Linked DNA regions of Notamacropus eugenii. The protein of the gene in region 1 purifies or fractionates together with the protein of each later gene. This does not show direct contact. Links are inferred from orthologs where the notes say so. Each region holds a gene or a part of one and is shown in the gene's direction. Other genes may lie near its edges. The genes, in order: AP3M1, RABL6 and AP3B2.

Region 1 (10,525 bases):
CTGTCAAGCAAGATGCCAACTGATAAACCATCCATCTTCTGAGAGCTCTCTCAGCATTCCCTACCCTCAAATGTCAAGTTCACTGGAATGGAAGTAGGGCTGGCCAATGTGGTCTCTCCTTTAAATAAAAGGATTTTTTTTAAAATACATCAATCTAATCTTCTATTTTCATCATTAAAAGCATGTCAGTACCTCTCTACACATGGAATTATGGGGCATGTTGTGGAAAATGAACTGCATAGAACTTGACACAGAACAGTGAAAGACATATAAAAGGATACTGAAAAACAAACACACTCAAATTAAGTTTTAAAATATTACATAGAAGCAAAGAAAAAATTGTGGGGTGTTGAATCACAAGGAAGATTTAGAAGGGGCAAATTTTACAGAGAGTCAAAACTCCTGTCTTTTCATTAAAGGCAGCACAGTAAAATAGAATGGGTGTTATACTGGCCAGGTGAGATACCTGGGAGCAGAAGCCACCTCTGCCACTTAACTCTGTGACCCTGGCCAAGTCACTTAACCATTCTTATCTTCAATTTCCTCTTCTGTAAACTAGGGTGCCTACCTCACGGAGTGGTTGTGAGATCCAAAGGAGTGGACACAAAGTGCTTTGCAAACACATTTGCATGGACATGCATGTGACTAGAACAAGATTTCACCAGTATAGTCAACTCCTGATGAGGAAATTCCCTCTACCAAAGTAGTTCAAAAACTGTTCTGCGACTGAGAGTATTAAAGTTGGTTGGGACACGTAGAGGTTAAGGGATATCCCTAGGGTCACATAGACATATACACACATACCAGCTATTTATTATTAGACGGGAAATGCCCTGGGGAAGAGGTAGGATTTCAAGAGACTGTTTAAAGAAAGATTTATTTGGCAGGGTGAATCAAGGAGATCATTTCAAGCAGAAGAGGAATCTGGGAGCCTCCAGGGAGGCAGGAGTAGACTAGACATGACCAGACAATGACACACTAAGTTTAGCAAAGTGGAAAGGAGAACAGGCAATAAAGGAAGGGAAATAAGTTAAGATGTAGTGAAACCTTTGGAAGCAAAGGGTGAAGATCTTCATCTTGACAATCAATCAACAAGCTTTTATTTTGTTATTCAGTTGTTTTCAAGAGTTATGTCCCGCTCTTCACTGACAAAACCTGGGGTTTTCTTGGCAAAGATATTAGAGTGGTTTGTCATTTCCTTCACATTTTATAGCTAAGGAACTGAGGCAAACAGGGTTAAGTGACTTGCCCAGGATCACACAGGCAAGTAAGCATCTGAAGTTGGATTTGAACTCAGATGCTCCTGGCTCTAGACCTGGTACTCTATCCACTTCACCACCTAGCTTTTATTAGGTGCTTACTATTGCATCTATCACTGTGCCAAGCTCTAGGGATACAAAGAAGCGGATTGAGCTGCTGGGCCTGAAGTCAGAAAGATATGAGTTCCATTGTGGTTTCAGATATTTATCCACTGTGTGACCTTGGACAAACCCCTTAACTTCTGCCTCCAATTCCTCAACTACAAAATGGGGATAATAATAGCACCTACCTCCCATGTTACTGTAACAAGCAAAGGAGACATTTTGAAAGCATTTAACAGTGCCTGCAACATACTAGTTCCTTAAAAAATGCTTGTTCCCTCTCTGTCCCCAACAAAAGCAAAAATAATCCTGCTCTCAAGTTCATATTCTAATGGAGGAGACAAAACACACACACACACATACACACACACACATCAATACATACAAGTTTAGAACAGAGATGCTAGGTATCCTTAGAGGAAATGGCACTAGCAGCTAGGGAGAAAAGAGAAAGTGGCTCTCTAGCTGAGTATTATAGAAAATCAGGGATCCCAAGAATTGGAGTTTGGAAAGGAGAGCACCCTAGGCCTGGTGGCCAACCAGTACAAAGGCATGGGGATGGGAAATGGGGCTTCACATTCCAAGAACAGCAAGCAGACCAGGATGACTAGATTGTAGAGTATATGGAGGGAAGCAGGAACGAAGAAGACTGGAAAGGTAAGGAGGAACCTGGTTGTTAGGAGCTTCAAATGTCAAAGGGCTTTACATATGTAGCAGGGAGCCACTGGAATTTATGAAAGGGTTAGGGAGAAGACAGGCAAGGTCAGACCTATGCCTAGGAAATTCATTTTGGCAGCTCTGTGTTGTAATTATTGAAATGTCATAGAGAAAATAATTACAAGACCTGGCAAATGCCTAGATAGGTAAGGTAAGTGGAAGTGGAAGTCAAGGGGGACGCTGAGGTCAGGAACTTGAGTGACTGGGAAGATGAGGGTGCCCTTGACAGTAATAGTGAAGTTTGGAAGTGGGGTGTGTGTGAGAGGAAAAGAGATTTAGTTCCAGTTTGGAACATATCATTGAGGAGCTGATAAGATCACCAAATGAGAGAGAAATAAGAGAAAAGAGAAGGTGGATAAGTCTGTCAACTAGCACTTAGGTGCATACTATGGTCAGCTAAGCTCTAGAGATACAAAGGAATGGCCAAAACCAGTTCCCGTTCTTGAGGAGTTCAAGGTCTAATGGGAGAGGCTATATGTAAACAACTAGGTAGAAACAAGATCCATACAAGATAAATGGAAGATCAACAACAGAAGGAAGAGATTAACATTAGCATTAACCAGTCCCAGTAAAATGAAGAGGTCAAGGAAAGACAGAGCCTAGAGCAAGAGTAGGGAACCTGTGGCCCTCTAGGTCCTTGGGTGCTTGTAACTGAGTCCCAATTTTACAGATCAAATCATTTTATTAAGGGGATTTGTTCTGTGAAGTTTGGATTCAGTCAAAGGGTCTCACTTGAGGCTGAAATTCCCTACACCCCCCACCTAGCAGAAGAGTGGGTGTGACATGGATAATAAAAATCCAAGCAAAAGAGACTAAGAAAGGATCATAAGGACAGAAGAACCAAGAGAGACACTGTCACAAAAACCTACAAGAAACAATCTTCAGCAGGAGGAGGTGGTCAATCAGAAGTGTCATATACTACAGAGAGGTCAAGAAAAATGAGGACCAATAAGAGGTCATTTTATTTGGCAATAAACAGTCAGAAAGTATTGGTTAAGCACTATGCTAAACACAAAGAGAGACAAGAACAAGTCTGCCCTCAAGGAGCTCACCTTCTAAACAACCATGGACATCTAAGATGGATTTGTGACAGCTGGTAGTCTCAGAGGGAAGGTACAAGGTGGTTTGGGGGAGAGATGGAAAAAGCCACCTGCAGAAGGTGAGATTTTTGCTGAATCTCGTAGGAAGCCAGGAGGCCAAAGTGGAGAGGAAAGAGCATGCCAGTGCCAAGGCACTGAGTCAAAAGAATACTGAGATCACTGGTAGTTTGGAGGGAGCCACAGAGAAGTCGCCCTTCAGAAATGAGCAGTATAATCCAGAGGAAAGAGGGCACTAAGAGCATATGACACCATTTGCAAACTCCCACGCTACAATGACATCAAAAAACTCCACAAGATGAAACGCTGGTGTGGATTTGAAAAAAAAGGAAGCTGAAGGTGAACTTCCACACAAAAAGTTCTTTATTACCTTCACAGTGAGAACACAAGGGTGGTGGAAATTTGTTTTCTGCACTTTGACAATCAAGTTCAAAGTTTGTTTCTTATTTTTGCATGGCAAGGGCTGAGCACAGAAGCCAGGGTATGGCCTTTGTAAACTTTGTCTGGTAGATTTATATGTAACTGTCATAAGGATTTGGTGTCATTGCCAGGCATGTGAGATGAGAACTGAAAAATAAGGGTTAGCCACATACGCAAAAAGGCTTTACAAGTGTAGAAGAGTTACCCTGAACAATATGAAAAAGACCAGACCACCCACAACCTAATATAATTAGAATGTATAAGATTTATGAATATGTATTTGGCCAAATCCTTTTTTAAAAAACACTGCAGGATGGTGGCAATTTCTTCCTGGGTGTAAACTAGGCATAAGAAATCACCTAAGGCAGGGGTTCTTAACCTGGGTTCCACAGACCTCCCCACCTAAAGTGGTCCATGGGGGGAAAAAAACCTAAGTTTTTATTTTCACTAACTTCCAACTGTAATTCAGCATTTGCTTTCAGTTATTTAAAAACATCATTCTGAGGAGTCCACAGGTTTCACCAGATTGCCAAAGAGGCTCACAACAACAACAACCAAAATGTTAAGAACCCACTTTTAAGGTAATCAAAAATATCACTAAAAGCACAGGTCAGAAGGCCTCAAAGGTGGAAAGATCCATAGGAGGTCACCTAGTCCACTCCTCCTCATTTTGTGGATGAGGAAACTGTGACCAGAAAGGTTGAAAGAGTTGCCCACTGCCCAGTGCATATTCAATATGGGGGATTTGAATAATTCCAGGTTCAGTGTTCTTTTCCAATGACCCTACACTGAATCAATCAATGAATATTTATTAAGCACCTCCTATGGGCCGGGTGCTTAGTTTTCAAAATCACCCTCAAAGCCTGCAAAAATGAATCATTTAACATTATCCCCTCCACTTTGGCTCAAGTGCATAGAGTGCCTGGTCTGGAGTCAAGAAGACTCATCTTCCTGAATTTAAATCCAGCCTTCAGACACTCACTTGCTGTGTGACCCTGTGCAAGTCGATGTAAGCCTCAGTTAGCTCATCTGTAAAACTGAGCTAGAGAAAGAAATGGAAAACCACTCCAGAATCTTGGCAAAGAAAACCCCAAATAGGGGTCCCAAAGATTCCGACACGACTGAACAACAACTACATTTGTAACACCTACAGTTTCCAAGAGCTTTCCCATGGATCTCGTTTGACCCTATCTCTTGAGGAAGCAGGCTGAATTCCTGTATCCTGGTTACTGAATGCTGAAGCTCCGGAAAATTAAGACACTTGCCAAGGTCCCGGTGCAGTCAGGAGTAGAACACCCCTCTTGGCTTGGAAGCAGATTCTAGCCCACAAGTTTGCATGTTCACAGTTCTGCCTTTTTCTTACTTGAGAGAGAATGGGTGGAGAAGGGTATGTGGTGGGGTGGCATCTATACAGTCTCTTGTCATCCACGTGTGTGTCTGCGTACACATACATACATACACACACACACACACACGGGCCTTAATGGGATAGTTCTTAACAGTCGGAAGGGCCTGTTTTCAGCTCCAAATCTCGCTGTCATCGCGTGCCTATGGATTTCAAAGTCCAGAAGCTTTGGGATGCAAGCATTCCATTTATTACTGAGGAGCGGACGAAAAAGTAACATTATTTTACAGGGAGCGCGATTACGACGGAGATAAATGTTTAACTAGAGGCTCCAGCGGCTCGCCTCTCCCTTTGGGCACGCCAGCGCGGGCCGGGGTCTGCACACACGCCGACCTGGCGATGCCCGTTCCGTCCTCTCGCCCTTCAGCATACCTTGCCCAGGACCCCAGGACCCCAGGACCGGCCGGTCTAGTGCTCCGCTGCGCCGGGCCGGGGCTGGACGCAGCGCGAAGCGCCCACGTGGGGCCGGGCCTGGCCCCCCCTCCCCTCGCACGGCCGCGCTGATTGGCTCCGAGCCGGTGGGGGCCTCGCGGGGCGGCTCCGCGGCCCGGCTCTTCCCGGCCCCCACGTGCACCCCCTCCCAGCCCAGCGGCGCTCACCTCAAATGCGACGTCGCCTCCACTTTCGGCTTTTTAGCCTGCGGTTCCTCGTCCGCCGCTGCCATCTTCCCGCTCTCTGCCCTACTCTCGCGCCCCTGGCCACAAGCGCCCCTCCCCCGTCCGAGGGCACACCCAATCCCCGCCCCCTCTCCTCCCTCCTCCCCCGGCCTTCCCAAGGGCCGGCGCAGGGTGCCCTCTCTTCGGGCCGCACGAGTGTGAGCCCCTCCCCTCTCAGCCCCCAGAGCTCGCCCCGCCCCCAGGTCAGGCGGCCTCCCGGGCTGTCTTCGCCCCGCCCCCGAGCGGGGCCTTGGCGGGAGAGGGGCAGGAACTTTCGAACGGGCAGCCCCTGGCGCCTGAACGCAGGGAGTCATACGACCGACAGCTCCGCAGCTTCTGCCTCGGGATGGAGTGCTCTCTAGGCCCTTGGAGACCTTTGCTCTGCTCAGGTATTCCCTTCGGAAGGCGATCTGAGCGCGGCGGCGGTGAAGCCCTCTCTCAGGCAGTGAGCAAAACAGCCCGGGCCGCAAGGTCCCCGCCGCCGCCGCCGCCGCCGCCGCAGCCTCTGAGCCGGCGGCCTCCTTCCGGAACGGGTCCGGGGCTAAGCTCGGGCCGCCCGGCTCCTCGAGGTAAGTGAGGCGGGCCATCGGGGCGGCGGTCGGGGTCAGGGTCAAGCGGGGTGGGGAGGGGTCCGCAGAGCCGGGGGCGGCGCTCCTCCCGCCCACTCCCTCGTCAGCGCCGCCGGGGAAGGGCGGGGCGGCTTCTAGGGACCCGGCGCTCCGGGGAAGGGACGCGCCCCGGGGCAGGTGAGGCGACCGGGTCCTCCTGACCAGCACCGGCCCCTCGACGTGGCCTACGGCCCGCCCGGGCAAGGGATGCGTCCCTGCGACCTCTGTGCCTCAATGATCCACCCTGCAAGTGCTAAGTAAGCGCCAGCTATATGCCGGGGACACCGGCACCAACGCCTGTTCTGGTTATTACCCTCGCCGCCAGCATTCTAGCGATCGCTTACCTCGGTGTTTCAAAGCCCAGCCACCCCGGGGGGAGGCATCGTTATAATCCTCACTGTACCGGAGAGGAGACGGGCAGGGTCCTGGACTTGCTCGGAATCACCCGAACTCCGGGCCGGGGCCGACGTTCTCTCCCCTGCGCCACCTCGCGGCCCTGCGTCTGTGGGACTCCGGGGGAGCCCCGGAGCTCGTGTTTGTACCCTGGCCAGGGTCCTCATGGACCTCCTTCCCGTAACTTCTGGTCCGGCTCTTCGCGCTGCCCAGCGCGTCCCCAAAACCGTGTCACACACACACTCACACGTTCGTTTTTCCGTCTTTTACAGTTAGTTTCACTGTCAAGGTGGGGGGGTAGAGAAGTGTCCGGCTGTCTTCTCATTTCACAGACAGAGACACTAAGACTCAAAGCCGAAGTGACTCGCCCCTCCTCCAGGAGCTCCGCTGGCATCGGAGCACACGGCGCATACACGTACCTGTGGAAGACCGTTATCTTCCGCGACACTTGAAAGCAGGTTCGGGCACAAAGTAAGCCTTGGAGAAAGGCTTGACCCACGGACAGTCTAGTTGATTTGTCATGCCCTTGACCATAGCAGCAGCAGTGTGGAATTGTTTATTATTATTATTGAACAAAAGAGAAATGTAGACATGAGAGTGGAAAGGGCTGTCCATGCTCCAGCAGAACCTATGCCAGCTCCAGGAAGGACTTGAGACCCTGGAGGTTGGCTGGGTGAGATGGGAAGCATGGTCTGGGTCTGGCAAGATAGAGGCTAGATTCCAAGCAGAGCAGCCCAGTCCGGAGGCAGAGTGCCCAGGCTGAGGGGCGTCAGATGAGCAAAGGAATGGAGGGCCTCTGCTCCCGATGTGGTGGGGAGGAGGGCAGCCCTAGGGGAGCTGTCCAGGTGCTCTTACAGGTAAGCTTTCCTTGGATGGATGTGAAGCCCCGAACTATTGTAATAGTGGCCTTCAGATCTTTCCCTTCTCCTTCCCAGGACCTAAAATAGGACTGCCGGAACTCACTCTTCTGCTCAAAAAAATACCTGTGAAGTAAAAAGTTCAGTCTCTCCCACTCCAAAGGCTCACTCGCTCCCACACATAGAGTCACACCCCTAAAAACACTTGAACTCTTAAAACTGTACGTTTGTACAGACTGTTAGAAACATGCTTGACACCAATAAGGTGTCAAGGAAATTTTATTACAGCAGAGTTCAGAGGAATTGAACACTTTGGCCAAAGCGGACCTCCACCCTCATTTCAAGAGGAGGGAGCACTGAATGCATGAGGTATATACCTTTAGTTCAAGACAGATTCTCCCACCAGGAGTTTGATTGGTCGTCCTCCTTTAGGTCACCATCTTCTCTACATGCCCATTACATAACCCCCCCCCTTACTGTGATTCCCCCCAAACATGCTTTAACATAGGACCCATGATCAGAAAATGGAGGGATAATTTTATGCAGGGTGTGTCTGCTTATATGCATGAAGTTCATTAAGCAAGCCCAGTAACTCTACATCATTTTTCTTGACTAGTTCCAGCTAACTGTAGATTTGGTTCCTTTATCCAAAGCTTCCTAATTTTCTGATTGCCACTGTCTGTCTTTTGATTGGTTGAGTCCACCTGCAGTCTGCTGGCCGCCTTATTATCTAACTTATTCTCAATGGCTTCATCAATTAACAATAACTTACCGTGGAAACTTAACTTTTGCTGTCTCTCGCAAGGCTATTCCTAGTACTTGGAAAGTTCTCCCCCACTTTTTTCACCAGTTGAAATCCCACCCTTCTTTTAAAAGCCTTTCCATAAGAAATGCTTTATTCTCAAACATTACACACAGTTATTATGTAATTATGTATTATGATAGCTAACTTCGTATTTTACAAAATATTTTCACATATTTTCATTTCTCTAAAGATCTAAAAGTATTATGCTCAGTTTACAAATGAGGAAACTAAGGCACAGAGAAGTAAAGTGATTGCCCCAGGGTCAAAGTGCCAAAGGTAATAATATATGGACCCTGGTTTCTCCTACATCTGAGTCCAGTGATTCTACTGTATTATATTGCCTGTTCTAGATATCTGTTACTGTTTTATCTCCTTGATTGTAAACGCCTTGAAACCCAAGCTTTGTCTTTATCAAAACTTTACATCTTCTCAATTGTGTGCATTAGTGTTCTGCATGAAAGTGCTTAAAATGTACTATTTTTTGTAGCGTGAGGCAGGACATGCTAGGTGTCCTGTAAGCAATGTGAACCAATCCCATTAAGTGATTTCAGAGGGAACCTTTGAAGTATGGGTAGGATTCTAACAAGGGTGGGGGGTTATCCTGAGTGGAGAGAGGGGAAAGCATGAAGTTGTGCCAGTAGTTGTGTTTGGAGGAGTGATCAGACTAGAAATTGGAAAGGTAAGATCACAGGAGTATTTCATATTAGAAGACACTGTTAGAAGATTTTGCAAGTATAATTCCTACTGGAGAATATATTAAAACCTAGACACTAGTAAGTGTCAAAAATAAAATTCAGACCCAAGTCTTCCAAGTCCAGTGTTTTTACCTACTACCCCACAGTGCAGTGGGCATTGGGAAGTCATTGAAGGGATGTTATTATAGTCGTGTAGGGAGATGGGAGGTTTGGAGACTATTTGGGAAACTAATGCCTTGAACTTAACCATGGTGGCAGTCCGGATAGAAAAGAGCTAAGTAACATTGCAGGAGGAATTTTAAAAATCTTGTTATTGATTTATTTTAATAGAATGAAGAGAGAGGAACAAAGAGAAATACATACACCTAAAAACCGTTAAGCAAAACACGCAAAAGAACAATTGTACAGCTTTATAATTTGCCATTTATGAAAAGAAAGGAAGGCTTTAACATAGTATCAGCATTGTTTCTTGTGGCTAACTTGAGTTTTGTTCTCATTTTTTCATTCATATGGTTATAGTCAATGTATATATTTCTTCAGGTGTGCTTTTTCTAAACTCTTATTTATCTGAATCTTCTTAAAGACCTCTAAATTCTTCATATTTATCTCACAGCACAATAATGTCATGTCATTTTGTTTACTCTCTTTATTGAATAAGCTCTCCTTTGCCACAAGGTTATTGTACAGTTTCTAATTTATGAGTGTGCACTATTAAATTTTTCCCCCATAGGATCTGGGTGACTTCTCCTAGATCTTAAAGTTAGTAAGGGACAGAGTCCAAGTTCAGCATTATTTCCAAGGATAAAAATTGCAAATACTCCATCAAGTTCACATAACTTATCAACTAATAACAGAAACTGTGAAAATTGGCTAAAATTGGTTTTTAAACTCTAGAATACCATAAATGTGAGCTCCTATTTGTGATACTATAAAATATAAGACACAACATTGGAAAATTAAGCCCCTGGGGAACATGCTAAGGACTGAATCAGTAGAGAGGCTTGGGGAAATCAGACAAGTTGATAACCTGAACGTTTTCCCTTCTGGAATGGGATATTCACTGTCACTTAATGCGAGGGATAACTGCCTGGAAGAATGAGTTGAAAAGCTAGATTTCACCTTTATAGACAGTTGAGGCTTAGGACCTGCTATTTCCATTAAGTGACAATAACTTAGTACTTCAAAAATCTTGTTTCTGTGATATGGTTACTCCCATTTACCAACACAGACTGTAAACTTTCACTCCTTAATATATCATCTTCATAAGTTTCTGTACATGAAAAGATTCATCACCTTGGTAGGTCTTATAGAGGTCATCCACTCCAAACTTAGCTAGGTTCATCTTCACATGGACATATAGTGCATTGTTAGGCCCCAAACCTTTCCAGCCTGGTAGGACCTGCCAGAGCTTGTGCTTTGTTATCACAGCCCTCAAGAGCCCAGATTTACTCCTACACCACGAGAAGGGATCAGAGTAGGCTGTGAGGAGCCTAGTTCTCCATAGAGATATT
Region 2 (9,985 bases), about 260 Mb from region 1:
CATCGCATTGCCCTCAGAGGTACCACTACTCTAGCCAAAGCTCAGCCCAATTCTTTTCACTCTCCCTCAGAAACATAAGACATGGTCCTCTCAGCTCAACGATTCTAGAGAGAGCCATTTTGGGGGAAGCCATGGTTGTTCTCTGAAGTGACTTTAATGATTAGAGATAATCCCCTCAAACCTGTCAGTCCCCTAATAATAATCTCTATAATTAAGCTATTTTGGTATATTGGGGAAAGGTACCGAATTTGGAATAAAAAAAAATCAAGTTGGAATCCTGGCTTTGTCACCTATGTGAGCTTGGGCCTCAGTTTCCTCATTTGTTAAAAAAAAGTACCTTGTACTTTTGTCAACGGAACCTATTTATACTAGCAGCCCAATCACCAGGAGATTCTTGGAGAATGTTTCATATATTTATTCTCCAGTAGGTGAAGCAGGACAGCCTGTAATTTGTCTTAAAATGATCTGCTTCAAGGTAGGGGGGAGGGGAGGGAGGCATTGCACAATGGACACAGAGCCAAGAAGCCCTGGGTCCAAGGCTTTCTCTGGAACATGCCAGCTGCATGATTCTCAATAAGCCACTTTAGTGCTCCTAGGCAACTCTCAAGAAAAATAAGTTGTGATCAAGATGCTGACCTGTATCAGTAGAAAAAGTTCTTCCTTGGGAATTTTCTACACTGATAAAATTACAGGTCTAGTAATCAGAAGGGGGGGGCCCTGAAATCAGGAGGACCTGAGTTCAAATGTGACCTCAGACACTTACTGACTGTATGACCCTAGGCAAGTCACTTAACCTCGATTGCTTCCCTCTCCCCCCCAAAAAATGGAGTTTCAAAGTTGAGGGTGGGGTTGGGGAAATACCTTGAATCTAGTTCTGGTGAATAACCAGGACTCCTCTCATTTCTGCTATGATTTTATAGCTTTCAGTTATATGCCTTTTCAGCCTTTATCTTCCTAGGTTTAAAAGGCCTAATCTAATCTTTTGAATCAAGTCTCATCCAGCCACCCCTCCCTCTACTGTTTTCTGAAGCTTCTCCAGTTCAGTTCTGTCTTCCTTGATAGCTCCCCTTCTTCTGATGCTGTTAAGAGTTCAGTCCCCCAAAAACCTGTCCCCTAAACTCTACCTAGCTCCTAGTTTCTGAGGAAGTGGTACCTCCTACCTTCTACCTCGTCCTCCCCAGATGAGTATAAAAAGACCCTAAGACCCATCACCCAACATTCCCTCCAGTCTGAAATTCTGACCCTAAGGAAACTCCCTGCAGAAAGGGGCTCAAGGGAGGAAATTGAGAGGAAATGAGACATTTGTTTGTCTTCAGAAAGGAATGCCTGGTCCTGCTGATACCAAAGATGCCTACAGTAAACTACAATACTGTGAGAAGAAGCTACTCTATCTGATAGAAAGAACTAAGAACTATGTGGAGATATTTGAAGAGGTAAATGAGGGAGGGCAGAGGCAGAAAAGTTCTTCTATGTACCCCCTTTCCCGGCCTTTTACCCCTGCTTCTTTCCCCTGGGTCCATCTTATTACACCTCTGCTTTTTAGTACTCCCAGAAAGTGAGAGACTTCCTAGAGGAATCAACGCTAAGTGAAACACATAACGTGAAGATTACTTTTGAAGATGGTGATGATGATGGGAGAGGTGAGTTACAGTGGCTTAGGTGATAAAACTGTAGAAAAACCCATTCATCCTGATGTCTGAGGCTGCTGATCCTGCCTTCATCAAGTCCACCCTCCCACTCCCCCAACCTCACAGACAAACTTTAGGCAATGGGGATAAGAAGCAGGAATTAGAAGTTCTAGCTTTTAACTTAGGGAAAATCAGTAGCTAAGGTTTGTGATTGTCCCTGATGGGACTGGTGAAAGTCTGTAGAGTACTAGATACCCCATATAGCTCTTCAACTGAACATTCCCAGACATTCAGAGCTGCATTCCCAAAGTGGGGGGGGGGGGGAGGCTGGTAGTATATGGGGCAAGATAGAATTGGATTGGCACATCGTCCATCAGCTTTGCCTCACACATGATGGTGGACTATGTTCTGAGAACCTGGGCAACCTTTTCTTAGTCTCTGAATTATCAGAGATGAGTCTTTCTGCCACACTTCCACTCCAAACACACACCCTTAATCATCTAATTAAGAAATAACAATTTGCACTTGTATAGGGCATAAGGAAAAGGACTGGAACATGTGCTATGGGTATCTCAGAGGGATTTATTTAAATAACATGCAGCTTGGGTTTAGTTATGAGGTATTTCCTCCTTGATTTGCTACTTAACTGTAGATAATGGTAGGCTTAAGGCCTGGTGGGTAGGAAAGGGAGATGGGACATAGTGAATTTGGGAGTTACTAGTAAGTCATTCCCCTGAAATAAGAATGGTAGCCAAATCCTGTGACTCTCCACCCCCCTGGGAATGTAACAGTCCACAGATAGCCTCCTGGTCAGTGGGGTCCAGAAGCTCCTCCACTGTCCTCTTGCCTTATACTTTTTCCAGAATCCTTCCAGTTTCCTGATGTGGAACATAGCTACGTTCCTTCTCGGGACGAGATCAAGAAGCAAAGTGAAAATCTGATTGAAAGTAAACTCAGAAATATCAAGAAACCAAAGAAGAAATAATGGTTCCTTCTTTAGTCTTGATCCTTTCCTTAACCCCACAAGGCCCTGCATGTCCAACTTTCCAGCTCACAATGGACTGCCTCCTTTCATGCTCAGTTTATTACACAAATAAAATTTTTTCCAGAACTGAATATAGCACAAGCCATTCATGGCCATGCAACAGCTCCTTGGTAGGGGAAGATGGGACTTAAGTGGGATCATCACCATAGGAGAGTGAAGGTAGCAACCCCTAATACCTGCTGTCAGCTCCACTTAACAGAAAGGAAGGTTGAAAGCAGTACAGGAAAGCAAAAAGAGAGTTGGATGTGGGAATTGGGACACCTAGGATGTCTGTCTGGCTCTGCCACTAACTCATTTGTTATCAATCTGTCAAACATCATCTGCCTGGCCCTGTGCTAAATGCTAGAGACACACACAAAAAAAGCAAAAGACAGTCCTTGCCCTTGAGCTCACAGGCTAATGGGTGAGACGACATATAAGCAATTATGTACAGACAGGGTATGTATAGGATAAATTGGAGATAATCAACAGAGAGAAGGCATTACAGTTAAGGGGGATGAGGAGACATTGCTGTAGAAGATGAGATTTTTAGCTGAGGCTAGAAGGAAGCCAAGGCCACCAGGAAATGAAGGTAAGAAGGGAGAGCATTTCAGACATGGGAGGGAGCCTGCAAAAAATGCCCAGTGAGGAAATAGAGCACCCTGTGCAAGCTAAAGAAAGTCAGTATCAATGGATCATAGAGAATATAGAGGGGAATAAGGAATAAGAAGAACTAGGAATGTAGGATGGAGACATGGTACAAAGGGTTGCAGAAGTCAAGTACAAGATCTGGAGCTTTATCAGAATTTCTATTTGACAGGGAGCCATTGAATCTGTTGAGTGGAGTGAGTGGGGGTGGGGTAGGGATTCACATGGTCAAACCTGTGCTTTTCGATGATCATCTTGACAGGTGAGTAGAGGATGGACTGGAGTGGGTTGAGACTTGAGGCAACGAGTCCCACCGGAATGCTATTGTAGTCTCAGAGCAATATGATAGGGGCTCTCATCAAGGGTGGTGGCAGGGTCAGAGGAGAAAAGGGGGCATGCTAGGGAGCTTTTACAAAGGTAGAATCAACAGACTTGCAACTAACTGGGTTGAGAGGTAGGGGGAGTTTTGAGAGTGACCTTGGACAAGTGTCTCTGGGTCTTAATAGTTTCCTCCTTTATTATATATGAGGGTTATGTTACCTCTTGGAGTAAGAAAGCATTGAAATTAGACTGCTTGTGTTCAGGTCCCTGTTCTGCCACTTCTTATCAGAGACCTTAGCTAGTCACTTTAATGCCTACCTCATTACATTACTCCTGGACTATTGCAATAGCATCCAGCCTAATCTCCTTGACTCCCTAACTCAAGTCTCTCCCCACTGCTGTCCATCTTCTACTCAGCTGTCAAAGTCATCTTCCTAAAGCCCAGGTCTGACTCTGTTAACTTCTCCCCTCCCCTCACCCCCCAACCCCACCCTAACTCATAAACTCCAATAGCTCCCTATCAAATATAAAATTTGAGTCTTAGTTGTACTTTATAAGTGAGGATAACACATCTTGCAGTGGTCACATCCCCAAGATGAATGAGGAGAATACTTTATAAAGGGTAAAATATTGAAAGGAACCTATTCTCTTTTTTATTTTATTTTTAGTTTTCAACATTCACTTTCATAAGATTTTGAGTTCCACAATTTTTCCCCTTCTCTGCCACTGAACGCTATGGGATCTCCTCAATGAGATCAACAACTACTGAGAGAGAAATTACCCTACTAAATCAGGAAAATCTAAGTGGATAAAGAATGTGTATTGCCCAGATGACAATCTGGGTTTCGTAGTTGGTACCAAAACAAGTCTGTCCCCATAAGTAAATGTCCTCCCTGGGTAGAGAAGAATAGGCCTGTAAAATGAATGGGTAGCATTTAAGTGTCTTGGAGTCCCATAACTAAGTAAATGTCTGACAGGATTTGAACTTAGGTCTTCCTAACTCCAAGTGTAGTACACTATAGACTGTGCCAGCTGGCTGTCTGTCTTGGTGAACTCAAATTTGTCTTTTCTGAGCCGTTTATCAAAAAAGCTGCTCTATTTTTTGAAGCCTTGTTAGTCTGATGGCCAAACCTGGGAAAATGCTAGGTACAAAATTTCCCAGCTTCCACTGAAACAAATCAGATAAGTGGTGCTCCTCAAAATGTGCCTTCATGTGAGGAGGGGGCCTCTGATACCAGAAAAGGACATTTGGAATCAGATGACTTGAGTTTGAATTCGGACTCTGCCACTTACTGCCTGCTTTGGGCAAGTCACTTAAATTTTCTGAACCTTTTTTCCGTATCTCAACTTCTCAGGGTCCTTCCAATTCTAAATCTAAATCTAGAATTACACGTAGGCTTATAGATTTAGAGATCATCTCCCTTCTGTCTTTAAATCTATAAACCTATGAGATCATTTAATTCAAACATCCACTTCCCCCCAACCCCATTTCATAGATCAGCAGACTAAGGTCCAAAGAGCTTAAATGATTTGACTACCAGTTACATTGTAAATGAGTGAGTATAAGAGCTAATATTGGAAACCAGGTCATCTTGGTTCTAAATCCAACTTTCTTCCACTACACTATGCTGTGTCTGGTCACAGATAGGCAGCCTATTTAATTCATCCGTCCAGAACTATACGTTGAACAGACAATAACCTAGGACCACAACTGAATATAAGGGAGTGGGTGGATGGATGGTCCTCAGCAGAACATTCAGTGCTTTTAAAAATCCAAAACTGGTCACAACCGTGAAAGGCCATCTTATTAACACTTATTCTCCAGATGCAAATACAGCAACTCTTATATAATTAAACATCATGAAACACTATGGCCTCCTGGCACACTGTAACCTGGAGGTGAGAGATGGGGTCTTGGGGGTGCAGAGTGCAGCCTGCTCTAGATGTGCCTGGTTTAAACCCTGAGTATCTGCCATTATTACCTTCCAGGGAGACACCCATTGCTTCCCCTGCCCCCAACCCTTGGGTAAGTCATTTTAAATCTCTGCCTCAGTTTCCTCATCTGTAAAATGAAAAAAATAAAAGCACCCACCTCCCAGGGTTGTCACAAGGATCCAATGAGATGACATTTTGTACAGCCTTAAGGCCGATACCTAGCCATCATTATCATCAGTTTGAGGAGGAGGTGAGTGGGGTGTCTGGAGAAGCGGGGGTGTCTCTGGAAACAGTGGGTAGGTAGAGCGACTCCAGAGCAGAATTCAAATTTCACTCTGCCCCACCCCTTCTCTCCGCCCCGCCCCCGACAGCTCCGTAGGAGCGGCGAAGGGGGCGGGGACTTCGCGCCTTCCCGCACTAGCTCCGCCCCCACCGCCGTGTCCCCCACGGGCCCCCGTAGCTGAGGCGACGCTGAACGAGGCCCCCTTCTCAGCGCCCCCCTCCCCCTCCGCCCGAGCTGTCCCAAGATGGCGACGCAGGAGAGCGGCAGGTGGCGGTGCGGAAGGCCACGGAAGCTGTGCCACGTCCTGTGAGGGCACCTAGAGACCCGGCGTAAGGCCAGGGAGAAAGCCGAGGCGGGCTAGCCCGCGACCGTCTCGAGCCGAGCTGCGGAGAGCTAGAGTCCTGCCTGACCGCCTCGCCTCCTCCGCCCCCGGCCTTGAGGAGGGAGCCAGCTGGGGCTCTGCCCAGGGGGAGGGGGACGGGGAGAGGCCTCCCCTAGCCGCCCCTCAGCCTCGCCCTCCGTCCCCCTTCCCCGGGCATGGTCGCCCCCGCCCGGAGCTTGCCCCTCCCTGCCTGAGCCCGCCGGAGGGCCCTCTGGATCCTCCAGGACCGCTGTAGGGGGGAGGCGCGGAGCTGGGAAGGGCAAGAAGATGTTTTCCGCCCTCAAAAAGCTAGTGGGGTCGGACCAGGCTCCCGGCCGGGACAAGAACATCCCCGCGGGGCTGCAGTCCATGAACCAGGCGCTGCAGAGGAGGTTCGCCAAAGGAGTGCAGTACAACAGTAAGTGAGGCCGGGGGAGGGTCGCCCCGGAGCCCCTGCGCCCCCCACTACTCTCGTCAGCCTCGGGGGTCCCCGAGGCACTTGGCCGTCAGTGCTGAGACCCTGCCCCGGGAATTGGGTACCTCGTAGGGTCGGGAGCTAACGGGGACCCTCTGCTTCCCCTTCAGGGGGGAAACTGGGCATCCTGCCTTGGATCTTTTTGCCCCGTGGGAGGGGAGGGGCAGGAAGCTAGATTGGGGGTTTGGGGGTTAGGAATGCTAGACAGGATCGCACCAAGTCAATGCTGGAAGGATCATGGGACTTAGAGTTGGACCGGAAGGATAGATAGATGAGCTCATCCGGATCCCAGGTTTCCTAGGACTTGAAGCAGGAAGAACCCATTCGGTTCAAGTCTCCTGGGATTTAAACCAGTTCAGCTTCTCGACCGAAGGAGTATGCTGCAGGCTGAGGAGAAGATGACGTGACCTGCCCAAGGTCACACCCTCAGCGAGGGGGTGAAATCAGAACTGGAGCCCAGGACCTCCTCTACAAGGCCGACACGCTGTGACACTGGCCTCCTGGCTACTTCCTTGGACGAGACACTCGTCTCCAGATCCCAGGCATTTTTCACTGGCTGTCCCTCAGTGTAGAAAGCTTTCCCCTCTCATCCCTACCTCCTGGCTTCCTTCAAGTCCCAGATAAAATCCCAATTATTTCTCTTAATTCTAGTGACTTCCTTCTGTTGATTATTTCCAATTTACATTGTACATAGTTTGCACAGTTACTTGTATGTTGTCTTCCCATTGGTTTATGATTTGTATCCCCAAGGTTTAGCCAGGTTGCTGGCAGCGCTTAATGAATGTTTGTTGAGTGACTGATTACGGAGTTTTAGGAGTCCTAGCAGATTTAATTTCTTTCTCCTAGGCTCCCCCCCCCCCCACACACACACACACCCCTGCCTTTTTTGAAACTCACTTAAGGCCCTGAAGTAAGGAAAAGGAGAAATTCAGTTTAATTCAACAAGCATTTATTAAGCACCCACTTAAGCCAGGCACTATAGTGTGTGCTGGGAATACAGAAAATAAGGGTTAGCCTTCATTGGTAATATTCTTCAGGATGAGTTTCAAACGATGGTGCTAAGTTTAAAGAAAAGTAAAGTAGTGGTCAGACTGAATTAGTTCTGGCTTTTGGGCCCATTCATTGTTCTGTGCCTGTCACTGCTCCCCTACCCCCAGATTTCTGAGAATTTGATATTTATAGATAATGTGACCAGATTCAATTTTTCTTTTGTTTTTTAAGTATTAGTCTTAAAATATTATTTTTGAGATGATCTGACATACTATCACAAATATAAGTAACCAGGACCAAGAATAACAGCTATTACTGATATGATGTATTAAAAACTAAAGTGTTGCCCTTTTTCTCAAAAAAAAAAGTATAGTAGCAATTTTTATTGGACTACTCATTTATATGACTATCCATTGAATGCCCAAGGCGGCATAGTAACAGTGGAAAATTGCAGGATTTGGAGTCAGAGGGCATGGCTTCACACTCCTGCCCTTACTGTTAATTACCTTTTGTGTACTTGCACAAGAAATTTCATCTCCCAGTGCCTCATCTTTAAAGTGAGGAGGTTAAATTACATGAGTACCTTACAGTTCAAAATCCGTATTCTCTGTGTGTCATAGGTGCTAAGGAAGTTTGCAAGATACAGGTGAGGTATAGCTCTTTCCCTCCAGGAACTTTGAGTCTTTCTAGTCTTATTTTTATTTAAACTTGATTGTATGGTCATGCTAGGGGATTCTGTGCTGTACAATTGTATGATTATCACCAGATTGAAATTATACAAACCAGATGTGCCTCTCAGAGTAATCATTTTCTTTGGAAAGGTGGATGAGAATACAGAAGTTGTGAAGTCCGCAGTATATGAGCACTGACTCTATTCTTGCTGCCCTTACATATCCTAAATAGTGTTGGATAGAACATAGCTCATTATGTGCGTTCTGCATGTGATATATTGATGAAAAGGCCATGGCAGCAGTTTTGCTAAGCGCCTTAAGCTCACCAAAACTTTTTATGGGATTTTTGATACAATATTATGGATAGCATTGGCTATATTTTGCCTGAGAAATTACTATGTAATTTGAAAAAGTAGCCTCTTGTTCTGTCACTCTGACGGTGAACTTAATTCTAGAATTCTTCCCAGAGAGTAGACTAACTTATAATGAATGTGATTTTAAATTAATGCACCATCTTATATAATAATTTATAGTATTATTGAGTCATGTGCATGTTCTTTGTAGTCTTAACTTTCAAGTGTGGATTTTGAAAAAAATAATTTTGACAAAATTTTAAGATCATAGATAGAAAGGACCTCAGTGGAATTAGAGGACAACCTTCTCATTTTACAGAATGAGCAAACAGGCCCAAGGAGGTGAGATGACTTGCTCAAGGTCTCAAAGGTTGTGCATCAGAATTTGAACCCAGGGCCTCTGACTGTGGTGCCTTTCATTCTTCCTTTAATTTTTTTATGTTGTTGTTTTTAAGAAGCAATTCTGTGGGGCTATGTTTAGTGAAACTCCAGAAAACAGGGATACTGTTACTGTTTATAATCTGTTACACATTGTGAACGAAATGATCATTTGAAGACAATAAAGTGAGAATTTAAGATTTTCATCATACTCAAATAATATAAATTAACTCCACGGCTCCTAGGCATTGTTCTGTCCTCAGGTAAATTTTCTCATTTGACATTTGATTTTGCTATATTGCAAATCAAGACAACAAACATTGGCAACATTTCAAAACTTTTATGTTGTATTTTGACAGTGTTTCTTTTCATTCCACTTTTAGTAAAAAAAATTTTTGGAAGGGGGTTCCTAGGCCTGTTTCAAACAAAGCTTTCAGTTTTCATAATAATTTGCCTTGGTGGTAGGATAGAATATTTAGAAGATGAACAGAAAAGCTTTGTCAAATTTAAAAACAAAGTTCAATCTGGCCATATTGTAGCTGTAATTTATTTTCATTTGTTTCTCTCACTAAATGTTCAGATTCATCAAGGTAGAGGAATGAAGTCAAATAACTACCTTAGCAAATAGTTCGTATAAGTTAGTGGGATCTGTGTTTAAGCCCCTGATTTTCCTTTAAGCTGTAACCAACCATTAATATGACACTGTGTTTTAAAAAATATTTTTAAATGACTCTTTAATCTCTTGGAAATTTGGAGCATCATTCTTGAATCTGTTCCCTCTCAGAAATGTGTGTTTTTCCGTGGAGGTCGCCCACTGATTCTGAGTGGGCTGAGAACTACGAATTTACTTGTTAAGGAGAAAAAGAGGAAGAATATCTGTTACTTCATGAGGTCTCAAAACTTACAGACACCTTAGAA
Region 3 (10,313 bases), about 15 Mb from region 1:
TCTGGTTTGGCTCTTCTCACTCTTCAATAAATACATTAAGCCCAGAAAAGCCCTGTGTAGGAAGGGAGGCCCATGGAGTTCCCTTGTCTAATGAGGGGACACCCTCACTAGGTATACAGGAGCAAAGTCCTCAGGGAGGTCCTGACCTGGGGAAACTGAGGTAGTGACCCTTCCAACCTGGTAGGGAGAGACCAACAATGAGCTAGGACTGGATCCAAAGGTAATTAAACATCGAACCTGGAAGGAAAACGAATCCTAAATGTCAACATCATCTTTCCCCATCCCCACCCCTCCACTCCAGTAAAAGAGAATTAAATTTTGAGTGTGAGTGCCTGGTTTTCATGGTGACTCGGAGACGGCACATATGCCGTCTTGGTTTTCTGTAAAATGAGGGAATTGAACTAGAAGACTCTGAACATGCCTTCCAGCTCTAAATCCTCAGATTTTCCTGACAAGCACAGGAAGCCTTGTATAAAGCAGGTTTTTTGGTACTACACAAGGAGGAATTGAAGAAAGGTCCAGAATCCTATACCATGATAACCCCCAGTCACTTCTAATGAACAAGATGAGCCTCTCAAGGATGAATGCAAATTGATGAAAACCGTCCCTTGAAGGCTGTTTTTCATTTTGGCTATTTATATCCCTAGTACGTAGCACACAGTAGGGCTAAGTGATAAGTAGGGGTAGGAGGACCTGCGATTTCATTTTTAGGGAACTCTCAGGCCAGGGAACTTCCCTCGCCAATGCAGGCCAGGACCTTCTCTTGTAAGTCTCAGAAAGTTGTCTAGACTCTAGAACACAGAGGACTCGCCCAAGGTGACACAGCCAAGCAGGTGTCAGAGGTGAAACTCGAATCCCATCTTTCTTACGTCACTACATAGCACTGCCTCTCACACTTAGAAGCTTAATCCGTTCAGGTTGTTCCCTCGCCTCCCTCCTCCCAGGATCATAGGATAGCGGATAACTTATTCTTCCCAAGGTCTCGCTCCCCTTTTCTCACCGGAATGAGTGAGGAAGCCCCTAGTTGGCAATGTTGGGCACCTCCTTCTATCCCTTTAAGAGGAAGGGACACCCTTTGGGGAGGGGGGTTTCCTTGTTCACGTGAGGATGACGTCGCAGCTCCTCGGTTGGGGCAGGGAGGAGCCAGGTGCCTGCTGCAGGATCCACACCCCTCCCCCCATTCTTCCTTCCCCCCTCCACTTCCTTTCCCGGAGCCTGGCCCTTTAAGAAGCTCAGCCTGATTCTGGATTTCTAAATCCCTGCTCCAGCATCTCTGGGCACACCTTGCCTCCTTCAGCCTCCTCCGGCCCGGCCTCTCTCCCCAGACCCTGACCACCATGTCGGCCGCTCCAGCCTACAGCGAGGACAAGAGCGGCTCCTCCAGCCTAGGGGAGCCCGAATACGGTCACGACCCGGCCAGCGGCGGCATCTTCTCCTCCGACTACAAGCGGTGAGGCGGGGCCCGGGAGGATGGGGTGGGGTAGGCTGGGATGCGGGCCCCCAGCTCCAGGAGGGACCCCTCCCTGGCCACGGGGCCCGGGATTTGTGGGGAGGGGGCGGGGCTACCAACCAAGTTCCCCTCTGGCAAATCGGGCCCGAGGGGGATGGCTTTGCACAAGCAGCTCTTGGAAGGAAGCAGTCATTCTTGCCCCTAGATTTGCTACCGAATTCTGCACCGTGCGAGGAGCCACTGAACCCTTCTTCACACCTGTCCTCACCCGGCATCCTTGTCTCAGCTTCATTAGAGGCCTCCTTCTCCTTGGTTGGGGGGAACCTAGATCTCGGCCCCAATCAGGCCCATGACCCGATTGGATCTGGGACCGGGAAAGGGGACAGGGAGGGCTGGAAGAGGTATAGGGTGAGACCCAGGGTCCAGACCAAGAAAAGATATTGCCACTATAGAGTGGGGCGCCAGACTCTGGGAGGATAAGCCTGGAGACAGGAGAGCGAAGAGATGTAGGGTCAGAGGAGGGTGATATGAAGTGTAGAAGGGTATAGGGCAAGGCTTTGTGGGAAGTAATATATAAGGCAACCTGGGCAAAGGAAACCTGAGGTCTGGTGGAACAGGCAGTGCCTTGGCAGAAAGGAACGTAGGATGGAGATTTGGGGAAAGAAGACACCCAGTGAGGAGGATAGTTAAAGACCTGATTAGAGGGAGGTAAATGAGGACCCTGGGGCAGGAGGAAACCTCGAGGCCTGCTGGGGGAGGAGGGAAGGGAACACTAGTGTCAGGGGTAGTCAGGTATCTAGGGTAACGTGATGGCAAAAGATCTGAGAGGCTGTGTGAAGACCCTGGACCAGACCAGGACAGGAGTGTACCTGGAGACCGTCGTGATGGTGTGAGGGTGAGGAGAGGGCATCTAGAAGTGGAGAGATTTGGGGAGAAACAGCGGAAGAGATTGGAGGTCTAGGAGCAGAACCTAATTTCATCCCTGGAGTAAAATACCTGAGTGCCAGTGCGGGCGAGAGTCCTAGCGACTAGCGAGGGCTAAATCTGTTTGGGGCCTATCTGCCTCGACCCCCACAGTGGCCACCCCCACCCCGAGGTCTTCGTGGTGTCCAGAGTCAGCCGCAGACCATGGACAGCTCTTCCCCCGCCCCCCTGCACTCAAGCTCCACCCTACAGCTGTTGTGGCCAGTGACGTAGGGGGCGTGGAGAGAGCGGGGTAGCTTGGGGGTGATGAGGTTTTTGAAGTGCCTGCTGTAGCTGCGACCTACTTTTTATCCTCCCTGGACATTGTGTGCGGCCCGGCCTTGCACTGGGTGACTTACCTATCCCTCTGACCCAGGCTTACTGTCGTGAGCTGGGACTTACTCTGTCAAGGTTCATACGGAGGTGCCGCTGATGAGAAGGACCACCGTTCTTCTCCCCGGAGCTCGTCATCTTCCCCACCGTATGTGGGGCAGGGCCTAAAATGAGGCTGGTTCTGAAGCGTTGGGATTTCTAGATGACTCCTCTCTCTAGGCGACTCTGGGAACCCACACTCAAACTCCTTCCCAGATGCCTTCTTTGCCCTTCATAGTCTATGCGCCCCCTTCCCAGTTATTCCTTTCCCCAAACCTTAAGTAAAATTCCCTCCAGGGTGCTCCCTACTTAATCCCAAATTCAAGTGCCGCCTCGCCCCCGCAGCCTCCATGGAGGTTCCGTACCCCGGGAAACATCCTTTTTGCTTCTAGGATCGGAGTCTAAGTAGTACAATGTTCCTGTAGAGTTGGGGGAGGGAACAGTGAAGGGATGTTAACAAACCCCAGTAAATGTCAAAAGTATTAGGCTCTCATCTACTGTGGAAATCTCCATTCCCAGGACCCAGAAGGCTCATATATGTCATATTCCTTGCTTCTCTGGCCACCCCACACCTCCATCTTGTCCATGCCTCTGATTCGGTCAGTCAATAAGCATTTATTAATTGCCTACTATGTGCCAAACACATAAATTCTACAAAGAAAGATGAAGACAGTCCCTGCACTCAAGAAGCTCATAGATTAGACTGGGGGAGAAAACATTCTGCTATGTACAAACAAGCTATGTAGAGAATATATTAGAAATAATCAAGAGAAGAAAAATACTAGAATTAAGGAGGTCAGGAAATCCTTCCTGCAGAAGGTGCTATCTTGGTTGGGACTTAAACTGGAAGCCAAGGAAACCAGGAGACAGGAAGGAGGGAGACCATTTAAAGTAAGGGTGACAGCCAGTAGACATTCCCAGAGTCAGGAGATGTAGTATCTTGTTCTAGGAACAGGAAAGAAACCAATGTCAATGGATTGAAAATACAAGGGGAAGGTGGGGTAGTAGGAAGGAGTAAAGAGTAAGAAGACTGGAAAGGTGGGAAAGGGGGAGGGCTAGATGTGGAAAGGCTTTGAATGCTAAACAGAGGATTTTAAATTTGATCCAAGAGGGGAAAGGAGCCATTACTGTTTACTGAGCAGGTAATAAGGTCAGATGGGGCACTTAGGTGATACAGTGGATAGCGTGCTGTGTGTGAAGTCAGGAAGACTCTTATTCCTGATTTCAAATTTGGCCTCGGACACTTCCTAGCTGTATGACCCTGAACAAATTACTTACCCCTGTTTGCCTCAGCTTCCTCATCTGTAAAATGAGGTGGAGAAGGAAATGGCAAACCCCTTCAGTATCTTTGCCAAGAAAACCCCAAATGGGGATGTAGAGTGTCAGAGACAACTGAACAACAACAATAAGGTCAGACCTTAAATATAAGAAAAATTTAACTCACCTCAACAGTAGAATAGTCTAGAGTGGGGAGAGACTTGTGGCTGGGAGACCAACCCAGCAAGCTATTGCAAATAGTCCAGGTTTGAAGGGAGTCAGAGGAAATATGGGAATGTATTCTGTCCTTTACAAAGCTAGGATCAACAGCACTTGGCAAAAGATCGGCTGTGGGGAGAGGGAGGGGGAAGCAAAGAGGAAGGGCGGTGAGCCTGGGTGATTGGGAGGATGGTGGTAACCTCAGCAGTCATGGGGAAGTTAGGAAGAATGTTTCCTTCATAACTCCTCCCAATGAAACTGTTTCTTATCAGAACTCCTATCTACCTCATAGCCCAAGTTGGGAAATTAATTGTCTTACCTGTATGATTCCTAAAATCATTTTAGTGTCCTAGGTTACCTACCTCACAGGTTGTTATAAGGCAAGCACTTTATAAATGTGAGCTATTATCATCATTATTGTTATAATTTTTTTTTACCTCAGTAGTGGTCTCTCTCCACTGCCATCTCCCCCTTAGATTAAGGTGAGGTTATTTTACTCTGCAGAGCAGGAGCAGAGTATTTTCTGCTCATTTATCTCCCAGACCTTGAAACAGTCAATTGAGCTTTCTGAGGGTTCTACTGTCCATGACAGCAGGAGACAGACAGGCAGATGTCACTTAACACACATGAGGAAAGTTACAGACTAACATCGAATTTCTGAACTCTCAGGATGCTGGAATTAAACCTGCCCTTTGGATTGTAAATGAAACATAGTCCTTCCTGGGATCCCTGGTCCCCTCTGGAGCAATCACAGGGAGATTTCTGCTCCCATCCTCCACCTCTGTTTTCCTGTGGTTAGTGCTCACAGTCTAATGCCCCTGCCTTCTCCTTTGCACTGAGCCCCTCTGGGGTCAGAGAAAAGGACTAGATGATAATGTTAGATCCTTAGTCTGAAATTAGACTCATTTGTAATTCAGAGAGAAATCTAAACTCAATAACTCCTCTCAGGAATCTTGCTCACTCACAAAAGAAGGCCAGTGAAGGCCATGGAAAGAGCACTGGGCTTGGGATTCAAGAGACCAGGGTTCTAGTCCAGAGTCCTGACACTAACTAGATGTGTGACTTCATGTTGGTAAAGCTTTCTAGGTGTCATCTGTAAAATGAGATAACAGGAGTTCTTAACGTGAAGTCCACAAATTCCAGGGAATCTGTGTACTGAATAGGAAAAAAATACATTTTTATTTTCATTAACCTCTAATTGCAATTTAGCATTTTCTTTAATTATAGATTTAGGAAAAATATTCTGAGAAGGGTACACAAAAAGAAGGTTAAGAACTCCTCATCTAAAATCTCTTCAGATCTACAATTTTATGACTCACTACCTTCCTCATGGGTCATCTACTCTCACACGTCGCCATACTCTGTTCCTCAGAATTCCTATCAATATCTCTACCCCAATCTTGCTATATCCCATCTTGATTTCTTCATCCCTCATTACCATCCCCCACTCCTTCTGTCCTTCTTCTTATATCCCCTTTCTTAAATCTGCTCACATCTCCCTCCCTATTTCTCCCCCTCCCCAATCCCCCCATAACCTCATAAATTGTTTGGGGCTTTTTGGAGGGTACTTTAGTTACTAAATAATAGCCACATTCCTTGTCCCCCCACCACCCATAAATCTTCCCTCTCAGTCTCAAAGAAGAAAAGGAGAAATTGGAGCTGACCCCTGCTGCCCTCTCCTCCCTCCCCTTCCACAGCTTTACTACCCAGACTCCCTCCAGCTGTCCCATAGCAGCATCACATTTCTGAGTTTCCGTGGAGCCTGGGCGGGTGGAGTATCAGTGAGGACTCACTGAAGCAAGGACTGAGTCACAGATCAGCTGGGGAGAAGAGAGGAGGGGAGAGAAGAAGGAGGCGGACTCTGTCTGCCTTGGGGGGAAACCTGGTGTCTGGGACCAGATTTAGGGGTCTCCAGGGAATCTTGGTATCTGAGGTACGAAGCCCGATGACGCCAATGCAGCGGTTCCTGCAGCTCCCAGGGACTATGGTGAAGCCACCGGGGAACAGGGTGGGTGAGGAGGCAACCAGCCCTGTTCTTACCCCTGAGGGGGCCACCCCAGCCTGGTACCAAGCCCTGCAACCAGATGAGCTACGACAGCTCCAGACCTCTGAACAGGATGTGTCCCCAGAAGGTGGCTCTGATGGGACCAGCCACAGCCAGCCTTTACGGTATGGAGGGGGGGCACTCTAGGGGACTTCCATAAACCCCAGGAGATCGCAGGGAGTATTTTTTCAGGCTCTAAGTCCCTGGAGCTGAACTGATCTCACTCTCAAGGGGAATCTGGCTAGGATGTGTAAAGGGAGGAGAGAAGTGTTAGTTTGGGTGTGGAGGGGATGGGGAGAGAGATCCAAAGGGAAAAGATGTCTAGGTTCTATTAGAGACGTAGAATACACAGAGGGGGGTCTAGGTATGTATATTTGTGCATGTAGAGAGGGGGGCAATTCCATATTTGAGGAGGATATAGGTTTGAACAGAGTATATTTGTGAAAAGAATTTTGAGATAGGAGATAGGGTTGTTCCTGATGACCTTTGTGGCTCCCTCATTTGTTGGAGCCAGGATAAATATTGAGGGTGGCTGGTGAAAGAAAGCTTGTTGCAGGCAAAAGTACTAAGTTCTGGGGGTATCTTTCAGGGGAGGATCTAAAAAAATTCACAGAGAACCTTCTCCAACTTACATGATTGAACAGGAGAGCAGATGCATGGAAAGGCTATATAAGATGAGAGTATTTCCCTTGCCATAGAGAGCAGAGAAGGAGTCTTAGGGAGTTGGGCCTTAATTTCCCCTTAATGACCCTGCATTCACTGATATCTCTCTGGTAGACTCTATCTATCTTCTAGAAAAGGGACTGCTGATCTCTCTTCCCCCTGACTAGGATGGGGTAAGAAGTCAGGAGCTAGAGAGCCAGGGATCAATACAGGGTTAGACTGAATTGTAAAGTGATCCTTCTATAGGAGATTAATATTTCATGGCCCTAAGGGTATCACTGATTCCATCTCTCCCTCCTACATGACAGCCCACAGTAGGCAGCAACAGGAGGGAGGGGGAAAGAATGGGAAGATGTATTAGGGGCTGCCAGATGGCCCTCCATCCCTCTGATAACTGTGTCTATTGGAGAGGGTGAGGCAAAGGGAATCTGTGCACCTACTTCAACACAACCCAAACCCCACAAATACTTATTAATATTCTACTATATACAAGGAACTGTGCTAAATTCTGGGGTCACAAAAACAAAGGTCCATGTCCTTAATCAACAAGCATTTATTAAGTGCCTATTGTGTTCCAGGTACTGATCTGTGCCTTGGGGATACAGAGAAAGGCAAAAAACAGTTCCTGCTCTCAAGGAGCACAGTCTAATGTGTGCATGGGGGAGGATGGCAAAATGTGAGCAACTATGTACATACAAAATATATACGGAATAAATTGGAGATTATCCACAAAGGGAAGGCACCAGCATTAATAGGGCTCAGGAAAAACTTCTTGTAGAAAATGAGATTTTAGGTGGGACTTGAAGAAAGTCATAGAAGCCTTGTGATGTCATGTCATTGTGGTAAGAAACTACTAATAATGAGGAGATTCAGAAAGATTTCCACTAGAGGGCTGAAAAGGAATTGAGCCTTGAAGGAAGCTTGGACTTTAAGAGGGAGGGATAAAGAGAGAGTGAATTCCAGACATGCAAAGGAGCTAGGAGATGCAATATTGAGTTGAGGAATAGTAAACAGGCGGCAAAGTAGGGTATGTGAAAATGGAGTCATGTAAAATATAAGCCAGGAAAGGTAGCCTGGCAACTGATTACGAAGGGCTCTAAATGCCAAACTGAGGAATCTGACTTTTATCCCACAGGTAATAGGGGGCCACTTACAGTTTTCTGAGCAGGAGAGGAGCATGGTCAGATCTTGCTTTAGGAGGATTGTTTTGACAACTCTATGGAGAATAGATTAGTAAAAAGAGAGGTTCATAACTGGGAACACGATTAGGAGGTTGTCTTTGGTCATACATCTAATAAATGTCTGAAGGGTGAGCATCAATCAGTGATGTACTGTGTACAAGGCATTATGCAAGGTGTTTGGTATACAAAGACAAAAATTAAAATCTGCTCTTAAGGAGCTTAGGGTTTATCATTAAGTTAAATGACTTCTCTGAGGTCACACAGGTTCCAAAGCCAGTGATCTTTTTACTGCCCCACCCCACCAGGTAGCCATCACCCTTCTCGGAGCAGACTGCCAATGTTTGGAGAAAATGATTTTTGGCAGTAAATCAGCCCCAAGAAAGTTCTCCTTTGATAGTTATCATGGCATAGAAGTGGCCTAGACTCTCCCAGGCTGAACTGGTAGAGCAGGTGCCCTGACAGGCCTTCTGGTGTTCACCCTACAGCAAAATGTGTACCTGGAATGTGAAGACCACCTGAGCTAAATTCAGAGAAGCTTCTCCTCAGGATGACTTCCAGAGAATGACATTTTTTTCAGTTCCCCAACAATCTTAGATTATCAAGCTAATCCAGATGGATCTCAAACAGCATCTGAAAAAGAAAAACTCAAACCAATAAAATCACTGCTCTTTGAGGCTTTGTAGTAAGAATTGAATGGATTGGGGTTGTTGGCCTCCCTGATCTGGGCTCCAAATGTCTTAAATTTGATAAGTCTTAAGATTAGGTCTCCTTCACCAGCATGACAAAACAAACTGAGATTGACTGGCAATCACACAGATTTGCAGGGACAAGGCAGGTAGGTGATCCAGTTATCATAGATTTTAGAAGGAAGAAGTCCAAACAAGCAGGTACCTGGTACCAAGAAGTTCCATGGAGGGAGATGGAGCCAAGATGATGGAGTAAAGGCAAAAAGTCCAGTGTCAGGAAAAAGGAGACCTGGGTATAGGGACTGGGATTTAGGGGGAGACTTTCAGTTCCTGAAATAATTTTAAGTTCAACAATATATTTGCTGTATTTGACTACTTTAATTTGTTAGAAGAGAGGATTCAGGGGAGGGGTAGGAGTATGCCATTGGGAAGTAACTGATTTTTTTTCCTGCTTTTTATAATAATGTTAATAATTCTTTTTCAATTTTATTTATTTACTTTCAGTTTTCAACATCCATTTCTACAAGATTTTGAGTTCCAAATTTTCTCCCCATTTCTCTCCTCTGCCCACCTCAAGACAGCATGCATTCTGATTACCCCTAGTGATATTTTTTAAAAAAAAAAACATCAATGTAACATTAAAAAAAAAGAATTATAGGGCTGAGGTAAGACCTTTGTCCCAGGGAAACTGAATAAATTTAGTGCAGGGGCTCACTAGAAAAGACAGGGACTCAGTTATGCAATGTTAGATAGGATTAGTCACCCATAAAAGAAAAACAAAACAAGTAACTGCTTATAATTATCGGGAAGCTAGAAATTCTAAGAGGGAGAGGTAAGGAGGGGTACATTTCAGACATGCAAGAGAGCTAGGAGATGGTATTGATTTGGGGAATGTTAGGTAGGCTGGTTTGTATGTCACACACATACAAGAAAAAAACAAGTAAAGAATGTTATATAATTATAGTGGTTTTTGTTGGTCTAGAGAAGAGAGGGAGAAATGACTCTCTCTCCTTTGTTTGAAGAGGTGGGGGACTATGGGTACGGATTATTGTATGTGCTGACAGATGCGTTTATTTTATCAATTGAGTTTGCTCAAAAGTTTTTGTTGTTTTTGATTTTGTTCATTTGGTAGAGGGGGAGAGTGCACATTCAGAAATGATTGTTATGTAAAAACAAAAGACATTTTTATACAATTTTAAAGATTAAGAACTTAGTTATTGGATGTGGGGTACAAATTTCAGAACATAGACCAGTAATGAAGTGACTGTATACTAATCCCTAAACTTAGTAGTTTAGGGTCCCTTCCACCCCATCTAATAGCAGAATTAATTCCAGAGTCTACAGTAGGAATGAAAATGATTATTGTTCCTTCATGGTCCACCAAATCAAGACTTCTCTTGCTTCTTACAACTTATTTATTGAATGTCTACTATGTGCAAGACACTGGAAATTCAAAGACAAAAGTGAAATAGTTCTAG

What was found.
Region 2: the proteins of AP3M1 (region 1) and RABL6 purify together in Homo sapiens (co-immunoprecipitation; 3 studies listed by BioGRID and IntAct, counting the BioPlex papers as one, with this or other methods). This does not show direct contact. The link is inferred for Notamacropus eugenii from reciprocal best matches to the Homo sapiens genes AP3M1 and RABL6.
Region 3: the proteins of AP3M1 (region 1) and AP3B2 purify together in Homo sapiens (co-immunoprecipitation; 3 studies listed by BioGRID and IntAct, counting the BioPlex papers as one, with this or other methods). This does not show direct contact. The link is inferred for Notamacropus eugenii from reciprocal best matches to the Homo sapiens genes AP3M1 and AP3B2.

Annotation. Positions count from the first base shown.
Region 1 is NC_092872.1:236,272,533-236,283,057, forward strand, and holds the start of AP3M1 (AP-3 complex subunit mu-1), read left to right. Parts: upstream 1-6,124; 5' UTR 6,125-6,225; intron 6,226-6,608; exon of another isoform or gene 6,609-6,711; intron 6,712-10,525. UniProt on the Homo sapiens protein: Part of the AP-3 complex, an adaptor-related complex which is not clathrin-associated. The complex is associated with the Golgi region as well as more peripheral structures.
Region 2 is NC_092872.1:492,640,459-492,650,443, forward strand, and holds the start of RABL6 (rab-like protein 6), read left to right. Parts: upstream 1-6,072; 5' UTR 6,073-6,488; coding exon 6,489-6,618; intron 6,619-9,985. Other genes in the region: CCDC183 (coiled-coil domain-containing protein 183), read left to right, coding at 1-19, 1,317-1,433, 1,544-1,640, 2,492-2,613. UniProt on the Homo sapiens protein: May enhance cellular proliferation. May reduce growth inhibitory activity of CDKN2A.
Region 3 is NC_092872.1:221,334,605-221,344,917, reverse strand, and holds the start of AP3B2 (AP-3 complex subunit beta-2), read left to right. Parts: upstream 1-6,168; 5' UTR 6,169-6,206; coding exon 6,207-6,430; intron 6,431-10,313.